Cricetulus griseus: one gene and its partners. The main gene of each other region encodes a partner of the protein of the gene in region 3 in a complex. Links are inferred from orthologs where the notes say so. Each region holds a gene or a part of one and is shown on either strand. Other genes may lie near its edges.

Region 1 (2,612 bases), on a different chromosome or scaffold from region 3:
AAAAAATGGAAGTTACCTCACAGTTCACTGCCGTGGTATTTCATCTGTCCCATGCTTTGCATGATTGCCATGGTACAGCATTGTTTCAAACTGTTCACTGTGATCTGTGGGTCTTTGAGTTTCAGTGAGTTTGCTGAAATGTCGAAGAAATATTTCCAAACTTCAATGTTCAATGAAATTTTTGTTCAAGTTTGAAATGGAGAGAGCAGCTTTAAAAGGTACTAAGCCTTTTACAAATTGGTGAGTACTGGCACATGAGACCTAGAGCAGCAGGGTCAACTTCTCACACATAGTCAGTGGGAAAAGAAAGTGCCTTGAAAAAGTTCCTCCCTCACCTACACAGTAGTCGTCATGTCGAGACCTGCCAGAGAGAGACACATTCTCAAGTGAATCCTGGCTTCTTGGAAGCGCTTGCCTAGACGAGACACAGTGCATTAAAACAACTTTTGGGGGACAGGTATGTTTTTCTTGCAGCTGCAGTTGTAAGGTCTTGGCAAGACAAGCAGTGTGGCCAGAATTTTGAACTTCTGATGAGTGTGATGCAAAGGACCTTGTACATTTTTCTTAAAGGTCCTCAAAAATGAGCACATGAAGAGGTTGCTGTGAAACTTTTAAGTGGCCCTACTGCGCAGAAGCACTCAGATGTCACTTGATGATCTGTAAGGGGACTTTGCCAATTTGGGAATGTGCTAAGGAGAATACACATTCCCTTGATAGGCTGTCAATGGGCGGGTGATAACTTAATACAGCTGACATGTGCTTTTTTTTTCTTTTTTCTGCCCCCACCCTCTTTTTTTTCCTACCTCAATGGTATTCCTACAGGAAATGGATAACCATTTTAACTGTATTTTTTGCAGCCCGTACCTTCTTGGGAATACAATTGTCTAACTTTTTATTTTTGGTCTGGCTGTTGTGGTGTGCAAAACTCCGTACATTGCTATTTTGCCACACTGCAACACCTTACAGATGTGGAAGATGTGAAATTTGTCATCAATTATGACTACCCTAACTCCTCAGAGGATTATATTCATCGAATTGGAAGAACTGCTCGCAGTACCAAAACGGGCACAGCATACACTTTCTTTACACCTAATAACATAAAGCAAGTGAGCGACCTTATCTCTGTGCTTCGGGAGGCTAATCAAGCAATTAATCCCAAATTGCTTCAGTTGGTCGAAGACAGAGGTTCAGGTAAGAGATCTTACAGGTAGTTGGGGTCACCTCATTGTCTACAAAGTCTTTTTTAAGTGGGATTGGTGGGGTAAGTAGTTTATGTTGAAACCTAAGATCTGAAAGAACACTTCGGCTGCCATGAGTAGAGCTACCTAACTCTAGCACATTTATGCCATAGATTTGATACATTCTCGCTTGCTTTCTTGACAGGTCGTTCCAGGGGTAGAGGAGGCATGAAGGATGATCGTCGTGACAGATACTCTGCGGGCAAAAGGGGTGGATTTAATACCTTTAGAGACAGGGAAAATTATGACAGAGGTTACTCTAGTCTGCTTAAGAGAGATTTTGGGGCTAAAACTCAGAATGGTGTTTACAGTGCTGCAAATTACACCAATGGGAGCTTTGGAAGTAATTTTGTATCTGCTGGTATTCAGACCAGTTTTAGGACTGGTAATCCAACAGGGACTTACCAGAACGGTTATGATAGCACTCAGCAATATGGAAGTAATGTTGCAAATATGCACAATGGTATGAACCAACAGGCATATGCATATCCTGCTACCGCAGCTGCTGCGCCTATGATTGGCTATCCAATGCCAACAGGGTATTCTCAATAAGACTTTAGAAGTATATGTAAATGTCTGTTTTTCATAATTGCTCTTTATATTGTGTGTTATCAGACAAGATAGTTATTTAAGAAACATGGGAAATGCAGAAATGACTGCAGTGCAGCAGTGATTATGGTGCACTTTTTTCGCTATTTAAGTTGGATATTTCTCTACATTCCTGAAACAATTTTTAGGTTTTTTTTGTACTAGAAAATGCAGGCAGTGTTTTCACAAAAGTAACTGTACAGTGATTTCAAATACAATAAATGAAGGCAATGCATGGCCTTCCAATAAAAGATATTTGAAGACTGAATTAAGTGGAAATTGTACTTTATTTTACATATATGATGTCATGTAAAACTTGGCTTAGATAGTATGTTTCGGGGGGATTTTCTTTCATTTTGGTGTTTTCTTTTTACACAAAAACTAAAGTTGACTACTTGCCATTCTTTGATTTAGGATTTAGGAGGTGAGAGAATCAAGAAGGCCCTTAAGATGATCTATCTCTAAGAATTGAGGGGCAGTGGGTTTTTTTTATAAATTTGTTAGTAGCTTTCAGCATCAGGGATAACATGGTGACTGTTCTATTTTGCAAAAAGTGCTGGCATACTTTATTCTGGACCAAAATGCACAAAGTTGAAAGACTGTTAGCCCAAGAACTGTGCGCTGTGTCCTTGGTGCAGCTTACACACAAAGTAATCTAGTCATCACCCATTCACCAGGGTTCCTAGAGCCACACTGGCAGTCAGGAATGTCTCCACATTGTTTCAGGGCATTTTAAAGGTCTTCAGATTGTAGGCTAGTCAGTACTCCCAACACAAGGAAGAAAAC
Region 2 (2,661 bases), on a different chromosome or scaffold from region 3:
AATTTATTTTAATGCCATGTCAATTCAAAAACCGCTTAAGTTAGTGGGAGCCTTGGTTCCCTGGGACAGCATGCCAGAGGTACAAATTGTAACCTTTTCTCTACAAATCCCCAGGAGCCATCCAAGTCCACAATCTGAAAGTCAGTTCTCTTCAGTCTACTCCTCTGGTTCCTGGTTTTTCTTTCTTGGGAGGGAACTCAAAATATTTCAAACAGGAAGCGGGCGTGGTGGCGCACGCCTTTGGTTCCAGTGCTCATGAAGCAGAGGCAAGTGGATCTCCAAGTTTGAGGCCAGCCTGGGCTACATAGTTCCAGGATAGCCAGAGCTACATAGTGAGACTCTGTCTCAAACCAAAAAAATAGGAAGAAGAAAAAAAAAATCAAATCTGGAACAAAAAACTCACAGTGGGATTTTCAATGTAGGTTCTAAGGTGGACCCTGAGGAAAACCCACTGGTTTTCGGGAGAGGGGAGACGGAAGGAACAAAACCAACAACATGGTGGGGATGACGACTGCTTTACAACTGAAAACTGAAGAACAAAAATGACTAATGAGAGATAAGAATCTTTTAATGGAGACTTCAGTATCTAAAATGGGAAGGGTCTAACCAGGTACCCTTTATCATGAAGGATCTGCCACAGGTGAGTAAAAAATACAACCGGTCCTCCTCCTTGAAGGCAGATTAAATACCCAGTGACAGTGGGAAACAGAAAAGCCCCCAAAAGAATGAGAAAAATGACATCAGTGACATAAAAAGTTTCAGCTGAGGTTTTAGTGGTGGTGGCTAACTTAGCCTCCTTTGTTCTGTTGTAGAGCCACAAACCTTGACCAAGCAGAGTAGAAAAGGCCAGAAAGAGGGGGCTTGAAGACGATGGGTTTTGACTCCTGATTTTATTATTCAATTTCTTTTTCTACTGAAAGTAGTCTTCAGTGGCTGGCCGGGAAGCCTGGCCTCCCAAGACCAGAGTCAGTTGGAGCTGGTTTTTTGTTGGAAAGAGTGGGTGGGCGAATGTGTGTGGGAACTGGGTGGGGCAGAAGACCCCGCTCACTCTGCTGGTGGTCTTGGGTGGAGAAGACGAACTGCACTTCACAGAGCCTGGGGTGCGGTGGGAAGGGGATGAGGCAGGAATGGCAAGCTGGGGATACGGGACCCACCTCAGTCCCCAGCTTCATTCTCTTCTAATGTTTCTCCACTGGTGGCATTCTCTGCAGTCTTGGAGGCCTACATTCCAAAACAAGACATCAATTCCCAACTTCTTTGGCACTAACTCCCAAAGTATCTATCCTGAAGCAGAGAAGGGTGGGCTCATTCCCCACCACTATCAGAAAGATTCCCACCAGATCATCACACACCTTCTTTTTCTTCTTTTTCTGGGTTTTTCGACTTGCAGAACTCTGGAGAAGAGCCTAGAAGACAGGAAGAAGGCAAACCCTGAGAAACGTGGGATAGATAAAGCATTTCTCCTGCTTTGCAATTCCTTTCGGGACTTTCACAGGTACCTAGGTGCCCCATGTTCACCATTTCCTACCCAACACTAACCTTTAGCTCTGCATCCTGGACTTCCATGTCAGACTTGTAGAGGTCAGGCTCAAAGGGACCACTGGTTATCCGCATGGGGCCATTGGGCATGAGTAGGACTGTAAATTTAAACTGGGCAACAAATTCACCTACGGGAAAACAAGTCCCAGTCACACTTTTTTTCTGAAGTTAAAGGGAGGGGACTCTAAAATGAAACCCTTCTTAGGACTCACCCTCCTTCTCATAGAGAACATTAAATGGCTGTAGTAACTCATGTTTGGCACACTCTACTACACCCATTCGAGCCTTCTTCTCATCTTCAAATGCTCTGGGAAGAGACAACATTCAGGTCTCCTTAATGACCCCATATTGTTAAGACTTATTTTTATTAGTGTGACTGCAGGTATGATAGGGGCTGGAGGGCAGGGCATGGGTGTGCAGGCCAGAGGACAACTTTTGAAGTTGGTTTACCCTTCTACTACTGCATAGGTTTCACGGGCTGAACTTGGGTCTTGCACAGCTCTTGACCTGCGACTGCACAAGCAACTGGTCCTGTTGTTTTCAATTTCTTGCTTAGTGCAGCTCAGGCTAACTTAAAACTCTTCTGCCTCAGCCTCTGGAGTGTTGCATCACAAGCATTTGCCACCACACTTAGTCAAGCATGCTCTTAAATCACCTCTATCCTCATGCAGAAACTGTCTGGGGTTGCTCTTGTATATTATATCCAGTAAGGAGATGGGCAGGACAGAGGACATGCATTCAGGCAAGAGCTACAAGTCTGGGCAGGAGAGAGAGGGGGAGGGAGGGAGGGCCAAGGGAAGGGAGGATGCTTCTGGGTGTACACACTGAGTCAGACTGGTTCCCAGTCCTGTTCTTGCTATATGCAGTACCTTAAAGTAAATGGCATGGCATCAAAACGCCTTTCCACCTCACTGAAAAAGGCACGTGAAGTTTTCATTTTCAGGCCGTATTGTTTAGAGGGGTCTCGTTTGTAAATGGTGGTTCTCTGTCCTGCATCTTTGGCCTAAGAGAGTTAAGTTAGGTCAAATATGGTCTGTTGAACACACCTTCAAGTTATCCCTTTTGCTAACTATGGAATTCTTACCTTGCCTTCTCCTGAGCTGACTAGGACATCCACAGCAT
Region 3 (3,901 bases):
ATGTAACCCCAGTGCTGTGGGCAGCAGAGACACGGGGATCACTGGAACTTACTGACTGCCAGCCTAGCTGCAGGCTCAGTGAGAGACCTGTTATCAGGACAATATGGCAGAGAGCAATAGAACAGGGTACCCAATGTTTTTCTCTGGCTTCTACCAACACTCATTTACATGTGTGTACACATTCATTTGAACACACACACACACACACACACACACACACACACACAAAACAAATAAATAAATAAATAAATCCAAATTTAGGCTTTGGATGTCGCCCTGTTGGTATAGTGGCTGTCTTGCATGCAAGAAGGTGTGGGTTTGCTCCCCACCAAGGCATAAACTGGAAACAGTGCCACATGACTGAAATTCCAATACTTAGGAGGTAGAGGCAGGAGGAGCAGAATTTAAAGGTCATTCACAGCCTGGAATATTAGAGACCTTGTCTCAAAAAAAAGGAAACTGAAAATTTGCATTCCCACTGCAGAGAACTTTTAAAAAGTTAGTTACCATGTGCCCATGTAACAGAACATGATTTAAGAAAAATCAAACTATACAAGATTTGTCCAGTTTTTAAAAGGAAGATTTATTTAACAAGTTTCACTTAGTACAATACATCTAAATGGAATTCACAATACAAGGTAAGATTTAAATCAAAGCCTCAGAATTCCATACAAACAACATGACCAAACTCCTAAAGTATTGGTACTACATCTCAAAATTATCCCAGATCTTTTTAAAAAAAAAAAAAGTGAAAGTGTACACTCACGTGCCTTACAGGATATTAAACCAAAAAGCTAGAATTAACAAACATGCCAAATGTTGTCACTTTGAATCATAGACACAGCTCCTATATTTGATTTTTACAGAAAAGCATGTTTCTCAACATGCATCTGAAGGCTTTGATGTATTGTGGTATAAGAGCAACATTTAACGTAAGTGAAACTGCTTTAAACCTAAATATGCTTACTGCTTAAGTACACTCCTACAACATAACTAACTTGAGGAAAGCTGAAAGTGGATTTAACAGTTATGGTCAATACTGAACTTGTTATTACATCCTAGATGAATATTTCAGTGTTCAAAACTGCTGAGCTTAAAGTTTGAAAACAATCTTAACTTTTACTTTACAGTAAGCATGAATCACAAGCTTGTAATGCAAAACTGTTAAACTTAAATTTTGTTCTTAAAAAAAGGAGAAAAAAAAAAGAAAGAAAGCTGACCGATAGTGATCAGAAGCAACTTTATTTCCCATTTACCAATCATACTGGATATGCTTGGTATCCTTCCTACTCTATCCAGTTCCTATAAATGCACAGCTTTTATTCCTGGAGCTGTTTGGTGTTCCTTCTTTCCCTAAGCAAGGTTTGACTGATAGTCACTTGAGTTTTCCTGAAGAACTTGGTCATATCCACTCATACTGCTCTGACCACCATAACCACCACCATAACCACCACTCAGCTGCTGGCTGGCAGGACCTCCATAACTAGACTGGTTAGATAAACCCATCCCTCCCATCATCTGGCTGCCATAAGCACCACCGCTTGCCCCTGCTGTAGAATTCAAAAACAGTTCTACGTAGCTATGATCGTAAGCTCCTCCACTTGTCCCTGCAGTAGAATTCAAGAAGAGCTCCACATATCTATGCTGCATATTAGCTTTATCTTTTGCCATAGCTGCCACAGCATCTTCATGAGTAGCAAACTCGACATCTGCCTCACCTGTAACTCTGCCATCGGGTCCTATTTCAATGTGTACTCTCATGGGATTAAGAGGTGAGAAAAAATTGTAAATATCATTCTCAGTGGCTCTGTATGGTAACCCCCTCATGTGTACACAGTGCCCTGTGGTGCTCTGGAAACTGGACCCACCATCTCCATATCTATGATCAGACATTCCTGAGAAACAGTAGTTTAGGTCTCTCCCAAATCTATCAGACCCAAAGCCATACCCGTCATTATAGCCTCCATAGTCATCATAGCCTCCATAGCCTCCACCATAGGCACCCCGCCTCATTCTTTCAAATCCAGCTCCTCTACCAATGCTATTATACCCTCTTCCAGCCCCTGGCCTATCATAAGGACCCGGGCGCTGCATAGTCATAAGCTTTCGAGGGGGATCATAGTGAGTTCGGACTTCAGCTCTGCTACTCTTGAAGATTTCAATGTACCTGTGCCCTATTCTTTCCTTGTGTTTCTTTAAGGCCTTTTCAGCTATCTCCTGTGAAGCAAACTGCACGAAAGCCTCCCCTGTGCTTCTCCCCTGAAAGTCCACTGGCAGTGTCATCCCATTTGGCACAATTTCCAACCCTGAAAAGAACTGAACAATTTCTTCCTTGCTACAGCCAAATGGGAGTCCTCTAAGCCGTACAAAACCATCATTGGCAGTATCAGGACTATTTGGACCTGTATGCTTTAACACCCAATCCATTTCAACACTGTTGGACTTGAATACTTCAACATATCTGTGTCCCATGGTTTCTCTGTCTTTCTTTAAAGCCAATTTTACTTCATCTTCAGATTCAAGTTCGACAAATGCTTCACCACTTGGTCTGCCTTCTCTGGTGTAGATGAAACGAACACCTGATGTACCATTTTGGATTTTGCAATCAGAGAAGAAGCGCATCACTTCCTCAGCTGAGCAGGACCAGGGTAGGCCCCTGACCTTCACCACGAACCCCTCCCTGCCCTCTGTGCTCAGCATCATGGTGACTGTTGGGCTCTTGGTGGCAAGCTTGGCTCAACGCAATTTCAATGTGGCTTTAAAAAAATTAGAAAACTATTGTCATGAAAAATTATACACAATAAGAGAAACAAAGAAAACTATTATTATAGAAGTTCACATCAGTTACTTTTTAAAAAGATAGCCACATTAACAAAAAGACTGCATAAAACTTAATTCACTCACTTAACAATTACTCATTCCATTTCTATTATGTATCAGGTATAATTAATAATGATTATTTCTGGGTAGCAGTACAATAGGACTTGTTTCCATGAACATATACATGGAAAATATTAAGACATTTTTTGAATATTTTAAATTTTCTGCACTGGCCCAATGCATTAACATCATAGAGAAAATTAAAATTAAAAATAAATAAAATATAACTATATCTCATTATATAAAAATCAAAAATTTCTTTAAATCAAAAGACAAAATTCATAAGATACAAGTCCATTAATATCCCAAGAATATAAACAATGCATGCAAATCAGTAAAATACAGAACTATTAATGCCTAAGAGATAAATGGGAAAAAAAACATTGAAAACATTAATGGGACTTTACATATGCAAGCATGCTTTAGATGTCAGGTCTAGTACTCATTCTGACATGTAAGAATCAATGAGTCCAGAAAGGGCTTACAGTCCTACAGGAGAACTGTATGCCTTTACCAAAGGAAAGTGCAAACAGATAAAATAAAGGAAGGACTGATTGATGAAGTGTTATCAATTGGAGGCAGAATGGTTAATTGACACAAACTATTCTGATCCTGTTCAGGGATCCAGAAACAGTTTATAAAAATGTTTAATGGAGCACGAAATGGAAGGGGACAAAAAGCAAAGGACAGGGCTGTCAAAAAGAGATGAGATCCTGAGGGTCTGATTTAATAGGAGGCTAGACTCTTCTCTGGTTCACAAGCATGATGATTCAGTATTCACAACACTGTGTGACATGTGCCTCCCCCAAACCTTAAGACATTGGGACTTTACCGTTCTGATGCTGGGTGTGGAGAGGGGAATATATATATATATATATACATACATATCTATATATATAGCACCTTTTACGGATCTTAAACAGGAGTGATGTCATTACAGCCCTTTCAGACTTATCACCCAGGCAACTGGAGCATTCAAACAGAAGGAAGGGGGACTGGATGAAAAGAGCAAAAGAGCAAA
Region 4 (4,253 bases), on a different chromosome or scaffold from region 3:
TTAACCCTTGTCTTTTAGTATAAGGTCAATACTGCCAATTTCATCTGTGACAATAGCACTTGGAGTCATACCATTGCCTCCATTATTGATCTGATCCTCCTCAATCCTCCTTTTGACAATCCTAAAATGATTGAAATGTGCTCCACAATCCTTAATCCAAAGCATTCTTAATCCATCTCTTCAGATATGTCTACAGAAAGACACATGAAAAGCAAGATAAACATAAGAACTTCCCCAAGTAAGATAACCACAAACACCCCCAACATCCCATTTCACACAAACCAGAGCAGAATAGACATTTACACAATATCACAGTCTGAAGAGCATGGAAATTAACTAAATTTAAACAATCCTGTCTATGACATCACTTAAAATACAATTTACCAAAGACATGAGGGGAATGTAGATGTTAGGAGCAAGGGGATATTACACAAGAATGCAATTCAACACTTTAGCCCATTCTGAACAAAACAGCTTGAATTAAAAAAAATGAAAAGATTGTACTGAGTAAAGGAAAACTGTATACAACATGGGTTCTACAAAAAGTGTCACCAATCATCTTATGTACGAGAGCGAGATCTGCTATGACGGGGAGAATAGCGTGGTGATCCTCTGCTTCTCCTTGGGGAGTAACTGCGACTCCTGCTGTTGCTTCTGCTACGGCTTCTGCTACGACTACGGCTTCGAGATCGAGATCTTCCATAACTTGGACTTCTGGGCCCATCAACTTTAACCCGGATGTAGGCAGTTTCTCCCTATTGGATAGACAGAACTTTCCATTGAAAGATCTAAGCTTTCACCTGTCTTCAGACATGCTGAATGAATACAAAGACAGACAGACCAGGTCTCTGGTAATTTACTTGGACACCTTTGCCTGTATCCTTACCTTCAAATTCCACTGTTAAGAACACTGTATCCAATTCTGGCCAAATAAAAGAATAAATGTATAACCTACCTCATGAGATCTAAACTTAGTGTTATCCAGTTTTCGAACTGCATACGTCATATCTTCTTTCCGTACAAACTCCACGACACCAGTGCCATCTCGGTAAACATCAGCATAACATACATCACCTGCTTCACGCATGTGATCCTTTAAATCCTGCCAGCTTCCACTCGGAGGCAGTCCTGAAAAAGTGATTTCCCCCTACTTAATGCTAATCACCCAGTTCCACATCAAACTGGTGCAACGTACATCAGAACAAGGATTATTTTAAAATACTGAATGATTGTACTTAAGTGTTTCCAGGTAAAGAGCTGGTAAGAGTCTGAGATCCACAGTCCAAACTTATTTGTAAAGGATCTTCATAGGCTAGCACTGCAACCTAATTTGGGTAAATCACCGCCACAGTAATCTTCGTTTACTAAATTCACCCCCAAGACCGAAGCAGTTTAAAAGGAAAAAAAAGGAAAAAAAAAAAAAAAAAAGCAAAGCAAAGCAAAACAAAAAATAAGACCAAACACCAAAACTTGGGAGTTGTCAAACCAGTCTCGCGGGAAAAGGATTTTCTTAAAACCCCACACGGAGTCAACTCACCAGAGACAACCACTCTGTTTTCAGAGCGCCTGGATGGCGGGCCATAGCGGCCTCTCGGAGCTCCGCCGCCTCCACCCCCGCCGCCGCCTCGGCCGGTGCCGCGGCCGCTTCGAGGAAACTCTACCCGCAGACGGTAGCCGTCGTAATCGTAGCCGTCGCGACCGTACACCGCATCTTCCGCGTCTCTGCGTGATCACAGAAAGCAAAGGGGATGAGGCCAGGGACAGCGGCCGGCCGGCCGGCCGGCCGGGCTCACGCAAGCCACTCGGGAAGCCGCGGACGGCGCACATGCGCACCCACGGCGCCGGAGCCCACATGCGCTGCATAATAGGAGCGGCCCCTCCCCCACCCACAAACACGCCGGGCGGACTCCCGACCACCACGCCAGCCCTCGGCGCCTCAGTTTCCCGCTCCCGGGCCGCGCATGGGCTCTGGGGACGTCCGAGGCGGCCAGCCACCGGAGACAACACGCCGACTCGGCTCCTTTACTCGACTCCTGCAGGGGCGATAGCGCCTCGCTCCCAGCCTCGGAGCCCCTCCTTCCCTCCCCCCCCCATTATGTCCAGGCCTCAGACAGAGCCTTCCCCCAACTACTCCAGCCTATCTCCTCAAGGCCGCAAGCCCCACGCTGCCTCACCGCGGGTCCTCGAACTCAACGAAGGCGAAGGGCGGTCCCCCGCGGCGGTTCTTCAGGTCGATGTCGCGGATAGCGCCGTATTTGTAAAACACGTCCTCAATGTCCTTGGTTCGGATGTCTGGAGGTAGGTTACCCACGTAGATGCGGCAGTCGTTGTTGCCTGCCGGGCCCCGAATCACACCACCTCCTGACATGGCGGCGAGGGAAAAAAAAAAAGCGCGGACTCGAGAAGAGGCCTTCCCACCAAGCCTAGCGTACGGCAGAGCGAGCCCTCAGCGGCACCACGTCTCCCGCGGCCCGTCCAAAATGGCGCCTTTATCAGCCCGGCGCACTGATATGGGGGGGAGGGGGAGGAAGGGAAGCCAGAGGAAGCGGCTATTCCGTCCCCAGTACGCACGCGCACGAGCGTAACGGGTGCTGAGAGGCACGCTCGCGCACGCGCTACGTCACCCTCCGCACGGAGGGGAAAAAGTCCCTCGCGTCCTGCTGCTGGTGGAACGCCTGGTTCAGCGAGGCGGCCAGACGTGTGGTTGAAAACGGTGTACGCTGGTGAAAGGGGGTTGTTGGTCCCGGCTGAGTCAAGGATAGTATGTCTCCCCTCAGGAGAGAACCCTCTTTTAAAAGCCACTCGGCGCTTTGAAAGGATTTGGTGACAACAGCCCACAACCGTGTCCCACCATGCTCCGCGGCGGTAACGGCCTTTGGCGGGAAAGGCGCCGGGGGGCGGAGCCAGATGACGCTGAGCTGTTGCTCCGGAAACCTGGGCATCTTCGGAGCCGGCGGAGTTGCAGGTGATTGGTTTAAGAGCGTGGGCGGAGCTGTGTCCTGTGCTTCTACGAACCTGCGTTTTTTTGGTGGGCTGCGTTTTGTAGGCAGTTAGGAACCCTCCACACCTCTGCGAACCAACCGCGCCTTCAGTTTTTTCTCTTCCTCCTTTCAAAGGATGGGGAAAGAAAAAAAATAATAAAATAGATGCGAGGACTGTAACTACTAGAGACAACGGTTGCATCTCACATTGTTTGAAATCAGGATATTTATATTGGATACTACGACTTTTAACTCCTTTGTAATCACGGGAATGGAATTTAGGGCCTTATGTGTGAAATCATGCAGGTTTTCAGTCTTGTTAATGAATTCGAACTGGAATAAAAGCAAAACCAAGCTGAACTTGGTGACTTGTGGCCTCAATTTCGTCAGTCCGGAAACTGAGGCAGGAGGATTCTATGCTAGTCTGTGATACACAGTTCTAGATCAGCCGGGGCCATGTAGGGAAACCCTTTAGATTTTTTTTTAAATTTATTTTTTGTGCATTGATATTTTGACATGGGTACTGGGTTCCCTGGAACTGAAATTACAGACAGTTATGAGTGCTTGGAATTGAACCTAAGTCACTGAGCCATCTCTCCGGCCCCGGGAAACCCTTTAAATTAAAAAATTGGGAAAAATAAAGCCAAAGCCTTTTGTAGTTATTATTTTTGTATTTTTCACACAGGATTTCTCTATCTTTCCCTGACTGTCTTGGATCTCACTCCTTAGACCAGGCTGGCCTGGATTTCAGATCCACCTGCCTCTGCCTCCTGGGTGCTGGGGGATTAAAGACATCGACCGCCCTCTTCAGGCTAAAACCAGAGCCTTTCATATTCAAAGTAAACATAAAATAGCCAGAAGAGGCAAGCGCATGCCTTTAATCCCAGCACTTGGGAGGCAGGGGCAGGCGGATCTCTGAGTTCGAGACCAGCCTGGTCTACACGAGCTAGTTCCAGGACAGCCTTCAAAGCCAGAAACCCTACCTCAAACAAACAAACAATAGCCAGAGGTGGTGGCACGCCTTTAAATCCCATCATTGTGGTAAACAGAACCTTTTAGTTCAAGGCCAGCCAGAGCTACAGAGACCCTGACTCAAAATAAATGAGCTAAATCAGACCCCCACCGATTTTAAGGGTGTTTTCTGCACTATTACTTTTAGTTTTTAATTTCCTTTCTTTTTGTTTTGTTTTTCAAGACAGGGTTTTTCTGTGTAGCTCTGGCTGTCCTGGAACTTGATCTGTAGACCAGGCTGGCCATGAACTCACAAAGATC

What was found.
Region 1: Hnrnph2 (region 3) and Ddx5 share a complex: the UniProt entries of both Homo sapiens proteins name them as parts of the ribonucleoprotein complex. The link is inferred for Cricetulus griseus from reciprocal best matches to the Homo sapiens genes HNRNPH2 and DDX5.
Region 2: Hnrnph2 (region 3) and Pa2g4 share a complex: the UniProt entries of both Homo sapiens proteins name them as parts of the ribonucleoprotein complex. The link is inferred for Cricetulus griseus from reciprocal best matches to the Homo sapiens genes HNRNPH2 and PA2G4.
Region 4: Hnrnph2 (region 3) and Srsf1 share a complex: the UniProt entries of both Homo sapiens proteins name them as parts of the ribonucleoprotein complex. The link is inferred for Cricetulus griseus from reciprocal best matches to the Homo sapiens genes HNRNPH2 and SRSF1.

Annotation. Positions count from the first base shown.
Region 1 is NC_048600.1:119,726,966-119,729,577, reverse strand, and holds the end of Ddx5 (probable ATP-dependent RNA helicase DDX5), read left to right. Parts: exon of another isoform or gene 1-966; coding exon 967-1,191; intron 1,192-1,383; coding exon 1,384-1,790; 3' UTR 1,791-2,094; downstream 2,095-2,612. UniProt on the Homo sapiens protein: Involved in the alternative regulation of pre-mRNA splicing; its RNA helicase activity is necessary for increasing tau exon 10 inclusion and occurs in a RBM4-dependent manner. Binds to the tau pre-mRNA in the stem-loop region downstream of exon 10.
Region 2 is NW_023276806.1:129,347,025-129,349,685, reverse strand, and holds the end of Pa2g4 (proliferation-associated protein 2G4), read right to left. Parts: coding exon 2,624-2,661; intron 2,543-2,623; coding exon 2,409-2,542; intron 1,847-2,408; coding exon 1,752-1,846; intron 1,668-1,751; coding exon 1,540-1,667; intron 1,407-1,539; coding exon 1,353-1,406; intron 1,222-1,352; coding exon 1,156-1,221; 3' UTR 544-1,155; downstream 1-543. UniProt on the Homo sapiens protein: May play a role in a ERBB3-regulated signal transduction pathway. Seems be involved in growth regulation. Acts a corepressor of the androgen receptor (AR) and is regulated by the ERBB3 ligand neuregulin-1/heregulin (HRG).
Region 3 is NC_048604.1:45,490,517-45,494,417, forward strand, and holds the end of Hnrnph2 (heterogeneous nuclear ribonucleoprotein H2), read right to left. Parts: intron 3,876-3,901; 5' UTR 3,784-3,875; intron 3,723-3,783; exon of another isoform or gene 3,622-3,722; intron 2,757-3,621; 5' UTR 2,704-2,756; coding exon 1,354-2,703; 3' UTR 563-1,353; downstream 1-562. UniProt on the Homo sapiens protein: This protein is a component of the heterogeneous nuclear ribonucleoprotein (hnRNP) complexes which provide the substrate for the processing events that pre-mRNAs undergo before becoming functional, translatable mRNAs in the cytoplasm. Binds poly(RG).
Region 4 is NC_048600.1:101,233,290-101,237,542, reverse strand, and holds the start of Srsf1 (serine/arginine-rich splicing factor 1), read right to left. Parts: upstream 2,838-4,253; 5' UTR 2,369-2,837; coding exon 2,175-2,368; intron 1,723-2,174; coding exon 1,538-1,722; intron 1,129-1,537; coding exon 956-1,128; intron 756-955; coding exon 561-755; 3' UTR 1-560. UniProt on the Homo sapiens protein: Plays a role in preventing exon skipping, ensuring the accuracy of splicing and regulating alternative splicing.